3 linked regions of the Styela clava genome follow. The protein of the gene in region 3 interacts with the protein of the main gene of each other region in a biochemical or structural test. Links are inferred from orthologs where the notes say so. Each region holds a gene or a part of one and is shown on either strand. Other genes may lie near its edges.

What was found.
Region 1: of the proteins of cullin-1-like (region 3) and sentrin-specific protease 8-like, one has a biochemical effect on the other in vitro, tested with the Homo sapiens proteins (2 studies listed by BioGRID). The link is inferred for Styela clava from reciprocal best matches to the Homo sapiens genes CUL1 and SENP8.
Region 2: the proteins of cullin-1-like (region 3) and cullin-associated NEDD8-dissociated protein 1-like form a complex in vitro, tested with the Homo sapiens proteins (6 studies listed by BioGRID and IntAct). The link is inferred for Styela clava from reciprocal best matches to the Homo sapiens genes CUL1 and CAND1.

What each region holds. Positions count from the first base shown.
Region 1 is NC_135263.1:15,659,959-15,662,878, forward strand, and holds sentrin-specific protease 8-like, read right to left. Parts: upstream 1,530-2,920; 5' UTR 1,326-1,529; coding exon 663-1,325; downstream 1-662. Other genes in the region: 5-formyltetrahydrofolate cyclo-ligase-like, read right to left, coding at 98-676. UniProt on the Homo sapiens protein: Protease that catalyzes two essential functions in the NEDD8 pathway: processing of full-length NEDD8 to its mature form and deconjugation of NEDD8 from targeted proteins such as cullins or p53.
Region 2 is NC_135258.1:12,202,833-12,206,594, forward strand, and holds the start of cullin-associated NEDD8-dissociated protein 1-like, read left to right. Parts: upstream 1-1,377; 5' UTR 1,378-1,453; coding exon 1,454-1,521; intron 1,522-1,994; coding exon 1,995-2,138; intron 2,139-2,873; coding exon 2,874-2,981; intron 2,982-3,269; coding exon 3,270-3,418; intron 3,419-3,762. UniProt on the Homo sapiens protein: Key assembly factor of SCF (SKP1-CUL1-F-box protein) E3 ubiquitin ligase complexes that promotes the exchange of the substrate-recognition F-box subunit in SCF complexes, thereby playing a key role in the cellular repertoire of SCF complexes.
Region 3 is NC_135252.1:8,236,426-8,240,187, reverse strand, and holds the start of cullin-1-like, read right to left. Parts: upstream 2,379-3,762; 5' UTR 2,239-2,378; coding exon 2,231-2,238; intron 1,739-2,230; coding exon 1,645-1,738; intron 954-1,644; coding exon 904-953; intron 518-903; coding exon 319-517; intron 1-318. UniProt on the Homo sapiens protein: Core component of multiple cullin-RING-based SCF (SKP1-CUL1-F-box protein) E3 ubiquitin-protein ligase complexes, which mediate the ubiquitination of proteins involved in cell cycle progression, signal transduction and transcription.

The sequences.
Region 1 (2,920 bases), on a different chromosome or scaffold from region 3:
TAAATGTTTGGTTTGTGTGATAAAAACCTTTATAAGATATTTCTATGAATATTGAACAAAGCATTTCAAAGTATACATAATTTACTGGTGACTTGAACTAATCAGAATACAAAACTTCATGAACAGGATAGTCGAATTCTGACACTGGGATTTCATTGCATAATTGCACAGAATAAGCCAAAGCCAATAAATATGGGTGGTATCCATTTTCTTGTAACTTTTTAATGTAATTGTCATAATATCCCTTCCCTCTGCCAAGACGTTTCCCATCAGTTGAAAAGCCAAGACCAGGCATTAATATTAGGTCCAAGCCGCCTGTAACCAAGGCATTTGGTCTTGAATTATCATTATCTGATGGCTGCTTAATATGCCATGATGTTTCGGGTAGGCTGTTGTAGTCTTCCAAAGATTCCAGTTTTACCATATCCATGGTGTTCCCTATATACTTTGGTATATAAACATCTTTTTTCTGTTGAAATGCTTGTTTCAATATTGCATCAGTCTTAACCTCATCATTCATACTTAAGAATATCGATAACCTCTTACTGGATACATATTTAGGGTGTTGAAGAACTTGTTTGGTGACATTATTTGACTGCAATAACTTTTCCTCTTCTGTTAGTGAAGAAATTCGCTTTTTAATCTCCTTTCTGAGCTGCTTTTTAGCTGCTTGCATGTTGTTCAGCCAACTGTTGAATCAACTTTTTCCAATGAGCCCTTTTCTTTTTTATATATGAGGCACAAACATTATCTAAAATACTGCCATTTTGAAAAGATTCGTTCTTCAAGTAATATTCAAATAAACACTCGGTTATTGCAATTACATACATACCACAGTCATTACCATTTGTTTGTTTAGGACATTGCATCTGAGTAATAGTAACACTTGGAAAATCAAATAAAGCAGCAAATTGCTTACATAGCTGGTTAGCAGGTTGTCTATTGAAACATGTTGATGAATTAGATAAAGAATCAAAATGAAAAAAACATTTTGACGAAAAGTCGCAAATGATCAGACTCCAATGAATACCACCTGGATAAAGTGTATTGTTATCATTCAATGGTATGAATGCAAGTTTTTTCGAAGTGAAATTATGTGGCCCTATTATGGCTGAGGCCTCTTCGGTTGTGAGTGTTTTCAACAATTGCACCACACTAGGATTCATGAAGGCAACGATGTCTTTAGAGTTTTTGAATTGTTCGACTTCAAAATACTCATAAACGAATCCGATTATCTTATCATTCAGCCATTGTGAATCATTCAGAAGTAATAAGTCTGACGTATACAACAAACTGTCTCCGAAACTTAATATTATTTCATCCATAGAAATCAATCAATAGTACAGCGTTGTAAACGAAATAGTTTAACAATATAGTCCAAAACTATTGGAATAAAAAACAATTTTGCAAGGCAAGATCCTGAATAAGGCTTGCAAAAGATTTCATTTTAATATCTAAAACATCATACTTTCATGGGCAGTCAAACATTATTTTTTTAATTACTGCAAATCAACCTGAAAAAATATATAGTAAGTAAAAAATACGGTGCGAATTTTCACTCAAAGTGATTAAAAATGAATTCCGATTCTGGTTGTTACTTGAAATTTTAGTGTAGAAACTACTGCATGAAACAAATATCTGAGTATACAATGCAATTCTGTCACTAAATTTTCTGCAATTTCGGGGACTAACGTAGTTTTGAACCACAATTCTGACAAGTAGGCCTACTTCTAACTAAGGGGGAAACCCACTGGCCCCAGAGTAGTCAGAGGTCAGGAGGTGAGAAGGTGGAAGTATGTTAGGTACGAAACTACATGAGACCCAAATACCGGTACAAGTATCGTGTATCATGAGACAGCTGTATGAAGCCCATGTTCAGATATTGCCCCGCGATTAGAGAGTGAATGAGCAAGAACCCCATCACATCGAGACCCTAACCACACAGAAATGTACTTTCCCGGCCTTTGACCCCCACAATATTTTTCCTATAGACCTTTCCCCGACCTTTGACCCCCGGAATGCAAAATTTTCGGAGATATTTTAAGAGTGCTTTTGCGAGTTGGCGCCTGTAAAATGGGGTATGTGCTTCAAACTATCATTACGATTCATCGCATACAACAATCTGTTTTTTTAGAAGTACCGATAATAAATTTTAGCTTAGTCTATCACAAGATTTCTACACTAATTTTTTATTACTGCAATTAAATTAAAACTCCTAGGAAACTTATTCATTGTTCATTGAATTATCTGATTTATATTTGAGTTTCCGAAACACAACTGAAAACTAACGGATAGAGTTCAAAAACGCGGTAATGTTTACACCACACTTGACGATCTGTCTGAGTGAGAAAAGTGTCTGAGCGGATGCGAAAAGGGAGCACTGTTTCGTCACGTTTTGCATTTTGCTGATTGGCCAATGTCACGAAGTAAACAAGGAAATCGATGCTCGGGGAAAGGTCCATGCTCCACCATCGCAAGATTTGATCCTTTCGGGAGTGATACAGCTAGATGTCGCTTGCAAACTGCTTAACAAGTTTAAAACAGCCATTTTTATTGAAAATATTCAAATACGTGCCGCTCACTGATTGTCAATTCAAGCCTAGTACCGGTATATCGTAGCTTTTTCTGGACTAATTTTGAGCTGAACTAAAACTTCCCGGAAGACACAATGGCAATCAGGTTAGTTGATTCACAGCCAACGCTTAAAATCGACAAAAAACAGGCAAACCCACGAAAACGGGGCGATTTTTGGAAGCATGCTTATATATCCGTCTAAACTAAGCGGTTCAAGAAATTGCAAATGTTACGTCATTGTTACGGAAACAAACAAGGAAAACGATACTCGGGGAAACATCCATAGGTACTTTGCTATGCTTGTTTACAACTGCTTGTCTGAGGAAATCTGATTTTGGTCAGAGAG
Region 2 (3,762 bases), on a different chromosome or scaffold from region 3:
TGCAATTGCTGAATTCAGCAATGACCAGCAGACCAGAGTCTTAGAGTACAGAATCAATTGTCTACCAATCTACAGTTAGTATCAGTTTCAACGGTTTAATGTTGTCACAGTGCGATATAGCAGCGTTAACTTAACATATACAGTACAGCACACTATCCAAATTTCAAGGATTTCCCCTTCATTTGGCTCAATAAAACAAAGACTCTATGTGTCTCAAAAACGAGGGGCGTCTGGGACCACGTCAGATGCTTCATATCGCGCCATGCTTGTCTCAATAATAATCTAAATTAATCGCGGCCGTCACATGACTAAAATTGCCTGTTTTTTCTAAAAACCTTACGAATGCACGGTAAATTTTTTTTTCCTTTGGTAAATCGGATTATTTTTTCTCAAGGAATTCAATGATGACGTTATTAGATTGCGCTTTTTTATAGTATTTTGGGCAACTTCATTATACTGTATTATTACCGATATTGAGGACAACAATGTCCAGACGTCTCCCAACAGAGGGGTGTCTGATCATATGTAAAATGGGTTTTTTTGAAACGGGACAATGTCACCCGATTTGCATAGTGTGTTGTACTGATATATAGGTAGCCAAAAATTTCCATATTAAGTTGGTACAAAAATAAAATATCATGTTTCATTAATTACAATACTGCAATACGAGATATATTTTAAGCTTTTTGTCAGGTGTTAGCACTGTAGAAAACAAAATTCCTTTCAGTCTTCTGACCTAACATTATATGATTATAGTTCTCTGTGTTAAAAAAGGAATTACTGTATTTCATTGCCCAAAAATGTACAGATTTTGAGAAGAAAGAGGAAAATGTAGTTCACTGCATGTCACATTACACCTTACCTCCCACATACATAATTCATTCAATGGAAATCTTGACCCTTAATTTAATTTGGTCTCGTGTAGTTTCGTACCTAAAGTCTGAAAGTACTTTCAGTGGGCGTAGCATAACGATGTTAATCCTAACCCCCACCTGACTATGCCATCCAAAAATTATGTCACTACTACGTTACAATCACATCATAGAGCTTGTCAATGTATACCTACGATTGCCCAAAATGGCATCTGCCCGGCGATAAAGAACTCGCTATCGACAGCGATCTTTCTCTTATCAGGATGGATGCGATGAGAAAACGAGTTTGCTAGGTTTCGGGTGATTGTCTGCGTGTTTCGTATAACAGTTCGTATTGTTTAAATTTGAAGGGCCTAATTACTTTATTACGTCACTGTGACGTCGCAGTGACATAATTTTTGGATGACACGGTGGGGGTTAGGATTGACATATGCAAAAATTGTTATGCTATGCCCTCCAGATGTACTTCAGGTATGAAACTACACTAGACCCATTTAATTTAACTTTCTTTTTTATTGTTTTCATTTATAAAGTATTTGCTAGATCTTATGTTGATATACAGTGGCAAATCATAAATTATCATGGCGAATGTGTCATACCATATCTCGAATTTATTGGAAAAGATGACTTCAAGTGATAAGGATTTCAGGTTAATATTTTGATTGAATCTACATGTACTTTGGCTGTTTGTTGCCTTGCAAGGATTACTATTTATTTGTTTTGATCTCGATAGGGATGACCTGATTTTGTGTTAAATTTTGCAAGCACAAAATTCAGATACTTCTCTATTATGCTATGCTAAAGGTTTCATTACCGGAACAAATTTGGCTGTGAAGCACATAGCGGAATGCAATGTTCTCAGTTGCGTGATACATGCTGTTATGTTCTCATTGAGGAGAAGACTGTCTGCATGTTAGTTATGAATAGAAAATCTGAATTCATATTTGCTTTAACTGTATTTATGTGAACAATTTATTTTAGACAACACACATTTATTTACAAGCTTGAATTCCTTCTTCTGAAGCCCCTTTTGCTTCATGAAGTCATTATAGATATTTATAGAAAGAGAATATAAAATAATTTTGTGTTTTTTCTCATTGCATAAAATAAATGATTTTTTAGATTCATGGCAACAAATGATCTGATGACTGAGTTACAGAAAGACTCCATAAAATTGGATGATGACAGTGAAAGAAAGGTTATTAAAATGCTTCTCAAATTGCTGGAAGATAAAAATGGAGAAGTTCAGAATCTTGCGGTGAAGTGGTGAGAATGGATGACTTTTCTACCCATATCCTAAATTCATAAACATAGTATCCATTAAGCAAACTTGTTTTCAACTTCTTTTCACCCACAGTACCCAAAAATGCAACTACTGTTAGGTTTGTTGAATTTTTTTTCATACAACAAGGCTTTATACAAGCAGCCACTAGTATCTATTGATATGTAGGAGGCTACTATTTTACAAAGGACTGGAAACTTGGCGTTGCCTGCCCAACTTAGAACACTCTGTTTAAGATATTGGGCATAGGATTTGAAACTGAGATGAATATGCCAACTCAGTTAGATCGAATTGTTTAACGCCATCAGGATTCTTGTCCAAAAGATGTTGATAAACAATAGGCTCTTGATCTAGAGCAGGTGAATTTAAACTACGGTAGTTATTATTTTAGCATTTCGAATGTTTAGATACTTCTGTTACAGTAGCACTATAGAAGGATTTACATATTGGCTAAAATCTCTGAAAATGATCAAAGAAATAGACTGGATAATGTAATAGACACCAGTTGTCGTCAAACTGTGGTCTTCAAACGACCTCACTTTTACCGTAAATGTGTATATTTGGTCCAGCAATACATTAAGTTTGCTGACCACAGATGCATTCAATTGCTTTTCGGATTGATGATTGCTGTGTAAACTGTGAATGAATGACCATGGCTGTTTTACTCAGTTGTCAAATTTTTTTTAGTTTATTTACCCTTATGTTGTAATATTTTCCAGTCTTGGACCTTTGGTTGGTAAGGTGAAGGAATATCAAATTGAATCAATAGTGGACACTTTGTGCAACAATATGTTGTCAGATAAAGAACAACTGAGAGATATATCAAGGTAATTTGATCATAGAATCAATTTTAATAAAAAACTGATTATGATTTGATTGAGTTTTATTCCATTTTCTGGCAGTCAACTTGAACAATACTGAGTTTAAAGTGATTTTTGAACTGCAATTCTGGGGAACCGTAATCACAGGGAACAAAATTGTCCCAACTGCGATAAATGCAGATTTTTAAACAAACTACATCAGAATAAACATCCCTCAATGTTTGTAACACTGTGTACTGAAATGAAATTATATTTTGTAATCTTTTGATTAACAATCGTCTAACCTGTTTTTAGTATTGGTCTGAAGACTGTCATTACCGAACTCCCAACATCAAATTATGGAACAGTTGGAACTATTTGTAAGAAGATAACCAATAGACTTACTTCAGCTATTTCTAAACAAACTGATGAATCAGTGCAACTGGAAGCACTTGACATTTTAGGTTTGTTGAGTTTTTTGTATAATACAAATTACGATTAAATAATAAAAATGTGATTTCCTCAGTGCTACACAAATTTACAAAAGCTATATTGATGTACAGTATAGGTCACCTTTGTGGTTAGTTCTGTGATTCTTACTATTAATAAATAGAAAGGTTTAAACCCCTTTTATTTGGAAAATTTTGAGATGTTATCTGGTGTGAGCGCAGTCAGCCATTTTTTGTATGAAAAAGTATGGAAATTGTTAATAAAGTAAACATTAACCATATACAATATGAAAAGCCCTACTACATTTTGTCATCATTCATAATATACAATGATTTAAATCAACAGTATATCTATTTTT
Region 3 (3,762 bases):
CTTGGTCACATTGAAACTGTTTTAAATTATATATAGAATCAAGAATATATAAAAAAAATATATAAGTACCGAAACTATGAATAGATCCAATTGTTAAATCCATGACTACATGAATTAAATTCAACTTCTTAGAAGCAAATAGCCAGCTCAAGAAAATATTGGAACATTAATATTACCGGTATATGAAAAAAAAAATAGTTCAACATGATTAATGTGTAAGTCGAAACACTAATCACATCGAAGGAATTTGTTGGTAAAGATAACAAAATAAATGAACAGTCAGTTTTGGAAATACCGGTGGTTGGAAATTTCACGTACCTGGAGTATACTAGATAAATAACTTTGCAAATATGATCGGAGTCTTTTGTACAGTTCATGCCCAACAAAATGTGCACTTTGAGCATTCTGCCATTTCTTTCCCGGTGATGATTTGAAACTGTTATTAGAAACTATTGCACCTGGTGCTTGACGTGAATTCCCACTAAGTTGAACGCATGTGCAGTAATTGTATACATGCCTGAAATTATTTGGATAGACCACTAGGAATGATATTTTTATATCTAAAATAAATTGTGACACCTGGGACATAAATCATACATGTCTTTTATAGAGAGATATTCAGAAACAATACAGAATGTTTTTTCTGCCAACCCACCATGACCCAGAACATGCGATGTCAAATTGCATACATATATGACATACAGTAAATACACATATATAATTAATAAGGAGATGCGCGACATATTCAATTGAACATTCATATTGGTGTTCATTTGTTTTGTCTCTTTGTCATTAACCTAATATGGTAAATCTAGATTAGACTATATGTAAAATAATACCAGTGGGTGGCAATCATTAAATTTCAATACAATTTTAAATTATGGTGGCAACAATAACGCTTACGTGTAGAGTTCAATATATCTTGGCTTCGTCATACTTTTGATTGTGTAAACCTTAAATAAGAAGTATTGCCATATATAAAAAGAAAATTTTGATAAAAATGTTTTATGAAACGGAATGCAATTATCATTCATAATATTAAATTTTTTACATTAAATTCTATATTTCCTGTACAACCTTCAATTTCCCTCCCCATACAGGATGGGCTCAAATTTTAATTAAAAATTAGGTGATATTTGGTAGCAATAAAGGCTAGCGTCGTATCTTTGTAACCAAAGTAAGTTGTGGCCTTGTTTTGAAGCTACTTTCATTTCCTACCAAGAAATATAAGTGTGGGCCTTTCTACAACATTTGAATGTGATGAAATATTTTATACAAGTATATACATTTCACGAAGGAGTGGTAGCAGAGATTACCCATAATAGGATAAACACAGAAAAATATGTTTATACAGATGATTATTTTACACAGAAGGTTATTCGATATTGCTTTTATAAATAAAAGTTTTCATGTCATCAGAAAAAATTCATGACGTTTTTCACACGATAAACTGGGTAGTCGAATTCAATCGATGACAGATATAAGACATTAAAATGGGATATTCGATTGACCTCAGCCCGGCAGCGTCCTGCTGACTTATCAGATAAAAATAGTCACTTCGGACGCTCCACTCGATGTAACTTTAATTTAAATAGAAGATATGACGACACTTGCATCCTGATATTTAATTTAAGCAGGATTTACCTGATCCATCCCTTGTTTTAAATCTTCCCATATTTGTGTTAAACCAATCTGTTTTCCTGTTAGTGATCCAGAGTTCATTCCAGATTTCCTGGAACTGAAAATACATTTATTATAATATATCAATAAAATTTGTATAATGTATATGTATAATGTAGTCTAAAATGGTCCCAAGCAAAGCAAATTTCAATTTTGTACAGGATTCAGCATAATAGGCTATTGAATTATGTCAAAGCAGGTTATCGATATTCACATTAAGCCATATCATTCACAAAATGAAAGTTGTCCCTAAAGTTTCAAACAGTTTAAGTAATGAAAGATGGATGTGTAACAAATTCAAAATTAAGATGGATTTCAAATCTTAGATTTGCCAGAATCGACATTGTGTTGGTAATTACAAAGAATAAAGTGTTTTTTTATCCATCTGGCTTAAGTAACCACCAATCGAGCACCAGTTAACTTTAAGATCAGATTGAAACGTACACTTCTAAAGAACACATTTTAAATCAACCACCTACTGACCTATACAAATAGAAAATTTGTGAAAAAATGACAGCTGACCACATGAAGAAAATGAAAAACAGCTTACTTAGACATTATGAAGTTTGCTGATTACAACTTCTGGCAATATACAGATTAAGTTACCAGTGTTATCTTGAAATAAATATTGACATCTGATACACTGTTATGTTTTTTTATGTAATAGCTGAATAGAAAACAGATCAAGATAAGTAGGAATCTTGGCTACAGATATAACCGTATCGTAAACTTTTTCTCAAAATTATAACATAATGCTTTATTGTTAGGATATTAATATTCACACAGCTATTACTGTATTACAAAGGATCAGATTCATTTGATACAATACAAAATTTAGTGGGATTCCTGGAAAGCAGTACTGGAGTAGGACAGTCGAAATATAAATACAACAGAACTCATGAAAAGAACATTTACTGGTACTGACTTAAGTACTGCGAGTAACAACGGTTGTGTTGAAAACTGCAGAGCAAATAGACTGCTAAGATAAGAAGAAAAATTGTGTCTAGTTTAACTTACATTCAGGCATTAAGTTAGGATATAAAAATTTATCACGTGGGGGGGAGGAAAGCCAATAAGATGGCATAATCATATGGCGAACCACAGCCTCTCACCCGGAGACCAGCCAATGTTGCTTGAGATCAGTTAGCCAGTTATTTGTTTTCGGAAGCACAGAAGCATGGACTTGATGGTGGAGGATGCCGTAATCGACCAGGGTTATGTGGGGTGAACCACCCTCTGACCCTACGGCGGCGATGAGTCCAGCAATGCTTCTGCACATACAGACATACCTATCGCACAGGATTCAAACCTGCGAACCCATGCAGGGTTTGGCGAGCGTATTTCTAACGCTTTGAACGATGCACCGCACCACCGAGCCGCATTAGTGCTGTAGGCTAGTGCACCTCATTCCAGAATACTGGAATGAATAATTCAGATTTTCTAAAATCTGGTTAATGAGTTAGGTAGTCTAACTCCGTTGCATTTCCACAAATCTGCTCTTATTACTTCACCTAGCAACCAATTTCTGAATTGTGTTTTTGTTAAGGACTAAGGATTCCTGGATTCACATATTTCCAGTATTTTGTTGATATTCTTACTGTCTTATGAAGTAATTAAATCGGTAAATAAACAGAGAATTGTGGAGATAACGTAGCTTACTATCACGCGCTACATACTAGATAAGTCTACACGTATTTAAGCTAAAAATCACCGAATAATCGAATTGTTGTTGATTTTAATACAAAGTATTTAAATTATAAATAAGTTAACCAGATAATTGTTGGGATAACGTAGCTTATACCGCCATGCGCTTCATACTGGATAAGTCTGTACGTATTCAAGCCGAAAATCGCCGAATACTGGAATAACACGAACATCTACGGCTCGGACAACCAGCTCAACAAACAATGTAATGCGAACAAAGAACAGGCGAAGTAGCGGCGAGTCAAATTAACTGAGCGACAGCCCAACAGCTAAAGCCAGAAAGCGGACGAGGCGAGACATAGCACACAAATAAAACGACTTCAGATGAAGGCAGTGTGGCGGTATAGAGCAAATAACTACCGTGTTTTCCCGAAAATA